2 linked regions of the Callithrix jacchus genome follow. The protein of the gene in region 1 purifies or fractionates together with the protein of each later gene. This does not show direct contact. Links are inferred from orthologs where the notes say so. Each region holds a gene or a part of one and is shown in the gene's direction. Other genes may lie near its edges.

What was found.
Region 2: the proteins of ESR2 (region 1) and COPG2 purify together in Homo sapiens (affinity purification with mass spectrometry; 3 studies listed by BioGRID and IntAct, with this or other methods). This does not show direct contact. The link is inferred for Callithrix jacchus from reciprocal best matches to the Homo sapiens genes ESR2 and COPG2.

What each region holds. Positions count from the first base shown.
Region 1 is NC_133509.1:98,920,755-98,924,566, reverse strand, and holds part of ESR2 (estrogen receptor beta), read left to right. Parts: intron 1-3,600; coding exon 3,601-3,739; intron 3,740-3,812.
Region 2 is NC_133512.1:116,631,279-116,635,090, forward strand, and holds part of COPG2 (coatomer subunit gamma-2), read left to right. Parts: intron 1-471; coding exon 472-547; intron 548-2,234; coding exon 2,235-2,327; intron 2,328-2,844; exon of another isoform or gene 2,845-2,915; intron 2,916-3,634; coding exon 3,635-3,721; intron 3,722-3,812. UniProt on the Homo sapiens protein: The coatomer is a cytosolic protein complex that binds to dilysine motifs and reversibly associates with Golgi non-clathrin-coated vesicles, which further mediate biosynthetic protein transport from the ER, via the Golgi up to the trans Golgi network.

The sequences.
Region 1 (3,812 bases):
TTTAAGGGGCAAGAGTACAAAGTAGAGGTCCACGAGCTGTGCCTAGATATTTAACAGTTCCACAGCTGGATTTGTAACTTCTGAGTGCAATATGTTCTTTGCTCCCATCTTGGCATACCTACCTTCAACAAGGCCATGTTCCGATTTAGAATTCTAAGACTCCTCTAAGTTCAGTACCAGACATGGTAGTGCAGAAAGAGCTGTCACCCAGCCGTTTCTATTCTTGACTCCCTTCTTTTCCCATGGACAGATGCATCCCATACTACCTTCCTTGCACAAACCCCATCCTATGTGTCCATGTCTGCTACAGACACCTGTTGGCCACCTTTCATGCCTAGAGGTGGTCTGGGAGGATGGACCCAGGGAACCCACCCAGGCTCTGAAATTGGGCTTGGGGTCATTTGGGCAAGAAATCCTAGGGTCCTGGAACCTGGAACAGGGTTAAAATGATGGGCTCAGCTAGGCGTGGTGGCTCACGCCTGTAATCCCAGCACTTTGAGAGGCCGAGGAGGACGGAATACAGGGTCAGCTGTCAAGACCAGTCTTACCAACATGGCAAAACCTTGTCTCTACTAAAAATACAAAAATTAGCCAGGCATGGTGGCAGATGCCTGTAATCCCAGCTACTTGAGAGGCTGAGGCAGGAGAGTCGATTGAACCCAGGAGGCGGAGGTTGTAGTGCCGAGATCACAACAGAGCAAGACTCTGTCTAAAATAATAATAACTAATTAATTAATTAAAAAGCTGGGCTCCACATTGACCTGTCCTTTGGCTGTGGACTCCTCACCTTGAGAGGAGGGGCATGTTTAGATAGGATGGGGCAGGGTGCAGTATGACTGGTTTGGAAGTGAAAGGTTTGTCAGATGTTAAATAGAATTTTATAAATTATTATTCCAATAGAGAATCAATATTATGTACATAAATAAGTATGTATGGACAAATAGAGTAAATCAGTTACATGAATCCTCAATGGGCCCATAAACTTGGAATGCCATTGAGTTAAAAGTGAGCTTAGTGACTCGTGAGTTATCATTTGGAACCTGCATTTTCCATCCTCTAAAATGATCACTTCTCCCAAGCCCATTTGTAATATATACCTGAAGGGCTGTATGATGCTAAAATTACCAGCCAATTATCATTTGACTTGGTGTTTCTGTGGAGGAGTGAATCTAGGATTCTAACCTAGAATGGCAACACCCCACAATCCCCCTGTGAAAGCTTCCCCATGCCCTTCTTTACAGTCCTTGAAGAAAAGAAGTCTCTTACAAGTTCTGAGCCACTGGGGACATTCCCATGGCCTGGAGAGCAGCAAGTGTACTGGGCAAATGTAAAGATGAGGAGGGGTGAGAAGCTGGGGGGAGAGCAGTTCCAGGTAAAGAGCCCGGGGAACTGAGGCCTACAGTGACAGTATCACTTGGGGACTTTTGTTGGCCTGGGCCCATTTCTTCTGAGCTTCCTGAGGATTTTTTGGTTTCTAGTTGTATTTTGTTTTGTCTAGCATCTTCACCTTTGCCAGAATTACTTTATTTTCTCTGCTTTTTCCCAGAGGAGACAGTGCTGATGCACTTTGCTCTAGTTTTTGCTTTAAATGTATTCCAAACACAGTTTTGCAGGACCACACATGGAGAGCAGTGGTGAAATTAGTTATTACTGAAAGCTGTGCCCCTTCTTTGTGCCATAAGAAATCTGAACTTTTCAGCTGCATTATTCCTTATTAAACCTGGTGTTTTTAAAAATTTTTGGGAAACATAGGCATAGTCTGAAGGCGTGATTTTTCCCCCCTCTCCTAGCTGGCATAGTCATTGTCCAAACAAACAAAAAAGTTATCATCTAGCCCTAATTTTGTTGAATATCTACAAGATTAAGAACCGTGATCTCTCTTGGGTAGGCTATTGTCTATCACTGTGGGTGAGATTGGGAAGGTGTATACACATTAGGAACCTAAGTTGAGCATAGCATGTGGATTTAGAAAGTATTTATCCATCTTTACATTCATAACACCATGAAATTCTCCTTTATGCAAATTGGCACTATAATTGTTCCAAGACTTGAACCACATGTGTTCTCTCTGCCATAGCATCCTCATCTGTAAAATAAGGATGGTAAGAGATCCTGCCTATAGGACATTCCCAGAGATAGGCATTATTATCCCCATTTTCCTATAAGAAAAACAAAGACTTAGTGGGAAATTAAGTGACCAGCTAGCAAGAGGCTGAGCTGGGATTCAAACCAGAGTCCATTTCATGCCAATGCTCTGTCTTTTGTTACCATATTTCTATTACATGGTCCTCTCCTTTTATCATGGCTTGTGGAGGAAGCCCCGGTGTTCTATGCTTTTTTTTAAAGTGCTCCCCTCCCCAGAGGTTACCTGTTTTCAATCAGTATTGTGACCAACATGTGTTATTAGGTTGTCAGGACCTGCTTCGTTATATTTGCTTTTTATTATTATGTTTTTGAGACAGAATCTTGCATCTCGCCCAGGCTGTAGTGCAGTGGCGCCATCTCGGCTCACTGCAATCTCTGCCTCCTGGGTTCAAGCAATTCTTCTGCCTCAGCCTCCCAAGTAGCTGGGATTACAGGCATGCACCACCATGCCTAGCTAATTTTTTTTGTATTGTCAGTAGAGACGAGGTTTCACTATGTTGGCCAGGATGGTCTTGATCTCCTAACCTCATGATCCTCCCGCCTTGGCCTCCCAAAGTGCTGGGATTACAGGCAGGAGCCACTGTACCTGGCCATATTTGCTCTTTATTTATTTATTTATTTTTTTGAGACAAGGTCTCACCCTGTTGCCCAGGCTGGAGTGTGGTGGTGTGATCTTGCTCACTGCAGTCTTGACCTCCCGGGCTCAAGCCATCCTCCCACTTTAGCCTTCAGAGTTTCTGGGACTTCAGTCACCTACCACCGTGACCAGGTAATTTTTTGTAGAGATGGGGTTTCCCCATGTTGGCCAGGCTGGTTTCCAAATCCTGGGTACAGGCAATCTACCTACCTTGGCCCCCCAAAGTCCTGGGATTACAGTTGTGCCTCACTGTGCCTGGGCTATGTTTGCTGTTTAGGATAGAATCACCCAGAAACAGTGCTTCTACCTAGAAGAAGGATCCTAACACTGGATGGGAGATTTTAAGCAATCAGAGAAATCCTTGCTGTTGAGTCCTTGGCTTTCTGTGCGGGCTGGCACTGCTGTCTGCATGCCTCCACCTGCAGCCTCCACCTACCGCATTCCCCAGCGCCTTCTGATCCCAGTCAAGGACTGGGTCAGACAGGCAGCTCCTCTGACTGGCAGCCAAACATTAACCTTCTCAGTAGCGCAGAGGAATGATCAGGACGCAGCTAACGACAGTTGGTTCTGAGCCCAGGTCATAGTGCTTGACAAACTCCAAATGATGTCTCTAGAAGGGGTCCAAGACTGGAAACCGGTTGCGCAGCTTAACTTAAAAGTTTTCTTCCTTTAATGAGCAGTTAATCACATCTATAAAATATTGATTCCCTAATGGTTTCTGTTTTCTTAGTGTTTTAACACTTGCCATTCTATCTCTACAGAAACAGGGAGCTGAGGAGGAGGGGTGGGGGTGTCTCACTACCTTTTACTTTCCCCAGGCTTTGTGGAGCTCAGCCTGTTGGACCAAGTGCGGCTCTTGGAGAGCTGCTGGTTGGAGGTGTTAATGGTGGGGCTGATGTGGCGCTCAATTGACCACCCCGGCAAGCTCATCTTTGCTCCAAATCTCATTCTGGACAGGTGAGAAAAAAACATATTGTGTTTCTTCTCCAACTTGTTTGAGTAAGGTGCTGAGTGAGTGGGAACAAAGTCC
Region 2 (3,812 bases), on another chromosome or scaffold:
TTTAGAAAGCTACGCCAAGGAGAGGTACGTCATGAGTTAATTATTCTTGTTGATTTCTTTTCAAAAGTTGTGTCTAGTCTGATGGAATTTTAGGATTAGGGCATATGTCAGACTACTAGGGCTCTTTATTCCATTGTCCTTAGTTTATTTTTTATGCCAGTTATCAGTATCTAAAATTATGGGGAAGGGGTTGTTTTGTTTATGTGATAATCTTTCTTCCTCCTAGAATGTAAGTTCCATGAAGGCAAAGGACTTTCGCCTTTTGCTAATTTTGCTCATTGCTATATTGTTGAGTTAGAACAGTCTTCTACACAGTAGTCTTAGCACGTATACAAAGAATATGCTCCCTAAATATTTGTTGAATCAGTAGCTGCATTAAGATAATTATGGGACAATTGGAAATTGGCTAGGGGTGAACTCCGTGGCAGAGATTTTAATTGATCTTATGTTAACCAATTTGATTTTTCTTAGTCTGACTAAGGACATGACTGGAAAAGAAGATGTATACCGAGGCCCAGCCATCAGGGCTCTCTGCAGAATCACTGATGTAAGTTCTCTGTTTCACTGAGTTATCAAATGGAACACTCTGCTTATCTGTGAGTGGCCATGTAGACTGAGTAGGATTTCCTAGATTGACTTTGTGAATCTTCAGTATAAGAGAAACATGATCACCAGAAAGGATTTTGTGGCTCCGGGCTTTCTTTTTTCTTCAGATTTTTTTCCTTTCATGTATTTATGTTAGTCCATTTTCTCACTTTATTTGCCCTCTTGAACTGTTGTGGTGAGGGTACGTTGCTTGCAGGAAACAAAAACCCATTCAAATTTATCTTAAAAGAAAAAGCTTTATTATAGGACACAAATCTCTCAGAATTTGAGGTAAAGCTTACAACTAGACCAGTGCAAGAAATTGGGCAGCTTTAAGAATTCAACAGCAAATTTTTTTTTCTTTTTTTGAGTCGAAGTCTTGCTCTTTTGCCCAGGCTGGAGTGCAGTGATGCAATCTTGGCTCACTGCAACCTCCGCCTCCCAGGTTCAAGTGATTCTCCTGCCTCAGCCTTCCAAGTACTGGGATTACAGGCACCCACACCACACCTGGCTAATTTTTGTATTTTTAGTAGAGATGGGGTTTCACTATATTGGCCAGGCCATTTACTGTGGTGATCCATCATGTATGAGACACAGGCCCTCTCGTACAAATATTTAAGAGTGATAATCTGACTAGCCAGCAATAGGCCAGTAGCTTGTATCCACTTGTGTCTGAGTCAGGTGTTTAATGTTGATCCAGTTCATTGTATCTGGAGAGATGAGGTCATGTAATATGTTAGGCTGTCTCTTCTCTTTCTGAAAACTCTGAGAAGGAAGCGCAGGCCAGGCATTACCAAGCAAATTGAGTAATAACTATATACTCATGCTTGGTTATATTTTAGGTGTATGTTTGTAACCTTCTCAAGTTTTAAAAGTTGAGCAGGACCACATTATACATTTGGTAAATCTGGATCTTAAAAGGAGTAATAGAAATGCTTTAATATTTTTTGCTGCACTGTTGTTTTCTTGTGGTTGTTTTTATTTATTTTTAGCATTAAATTGGTAGCAGCATGAGACTTGACCATGCTAGTGCTAGCAATAAAACTCTTTTTTTCATTTGAATATTGCTCTTAGTCTTTTTACTCATCTTTGTCGCCACCACCTCCCCAGTGCTTTTTCCCATTTAAAAAGAACAGTATTTCCAGAGGATTTCACGCTGAGGGCTCACTATAGTAATATACTATACATTTAATTCTTTATGTATCTAAGATAATCAGATATTACCTTTGATTTCTAGGACTCTGGGATCTATGTGTAATATGTGCCCTTCACATAGAGGAATCTTCATAACTTCAAAAGCAGGCTCCATCTGCCTATAGGAATTTCTTTATAACATACCTGATTGGTTCAGCCTCTACTTGTGTATTTCTTCCAAACAGAGATTCTGCATTTTGAGACAGTTTATTTCATCATTGAACAGTTACTCTTCTTTACATATAATCTTAAATATTCTTTCCTAAAGCTTCAACTTAGTTGTTTCGGTTCTACCCTTTGGGATATTATTACTACATTATCCTTTTAGTGCATTCTAAATGAAATTGCACAGAAACAAATACATGATTAGTTTTTGAAAATTATTTTGAAGCATTAATAGTAATTTGCATAAAAATGTTTTTCCTCAACAATTTTTTCTTTTTGAATGTTATTAGGGAACAATGTTGCAAGCCATCGAAAGATATATGAAGCAGGCCATTGTGGATAAAGTTTCCAGTGTATCCAGTTCAGCACTGGTATCTTCCCTAGTAAGTGAGCTAGCAGCTTCCTAGTTCTTATGGATGGTACAGTTTCTAGTTGCAAAAATAAAGTATCTCTATGATTCTCTCACAAATGAGACAGTTAAAAATATGTATACACCTCTATTACTTTATCCAAGTTTGTTTTATCTAGAGAAGGGGTTCCCACCCCAGGGCTTCAGCCAGTCCTGTTCAGTGGCCTGTTAGGAACTGGGCTGTACAGCAGGAGGTGAGCGGCAGGCAAGTGAGCATTAATTACTGCCTGAGCTCTGCCCCCATCAGATCAGCAGCAGCATTAGATTCTCATAGGAGTGCAAGCTCTATTGTGAGCTGTGCATGTGAGGGATCTAGAATGCCAACTTCATATGAGAATGTAACCGATGCCTGATGATCTGAGGTGGAATGGTTTCATCCCAAAACTATCCCTCCTCCCTCTGCCAGTGGAAAAATTGTCTTTCATAAAACCAATCCCTGGTACTAAAAAGGTTGGAGGTTGCTGATCTAGAGGATCATTGAAGAATTAAAAACATAAAATTGTCATATGTTTGAAAGGTTTTAGAAATTTGAAAGTTATGTTGTACACATAATAAAAGCGGGGTAAGTGTGGGGTATGGGACAGGGAAGAAACCTAGGGCCCTTTTATTTAAAATCTTCTTTATGACTTGCCTTTATGACTTCCACTACTTGTCTCTTTGTCCTCTGCTTTTTCTGGTGCCCTTTGTCCTCTGCTTTTTCTGGTGCCCTTTGTCTATGTGTATCCTTCAAAATTTCCTGCCCCACCTCTGAATTTTCTGCGAGGAAGTAGTCTTTTCTTTAGTAATTTTTTTCTTTCAGTTTTTCAACAGAACACAGTTTATACATTAAAACCTATCACATTGCATTTGATTAATGTCAGTTACATATGTGTGAATGTGTAAGACATCTAAATCACAAGAGTTTCTGATTCTGGAAGATAATTGGTTGAGTTTCATAGCAGAGAATATATTAATACTCTTTTTCTTTCTTCCAGGGGAGTTTCCTAGAAGTAAAGCTTGTAATGATAACGTTATTTAAGCACCATCCTCATCCTGTTCTTCCTCTTTCATTACTTCCTTTTACACACCTCTATATACTCACCTTTGTAAAGGGTATAGAAGAAAATACTTATGATTTATCAGTTGCCCTAGCAATAGAGACACAAAATATACTTATAAGAGCTACATAGTTTTCTTTCTCCTGGGAAATGTCTGTTACTGATTTTTCAAAAAAACTAACTCATGTTTCTAAGTTTCTAGTGACCATGCATTATTTATTTTCATTTTTTTCCCTGTATTTAGCACATGATGAAGATAAGCTATGATGTGGTTAAGCGCTGGATCAATGAAGCCCAAGAAGCTGCATCGAGTGATAATATTATGGTCCAGGTACTGTCATTTAATCATATTAGCTTATGTCTCAGGATCAGCATTCTTTAAACCTGTTATTTTAGGGGCAGTATTTTGAGCATTAACTAAA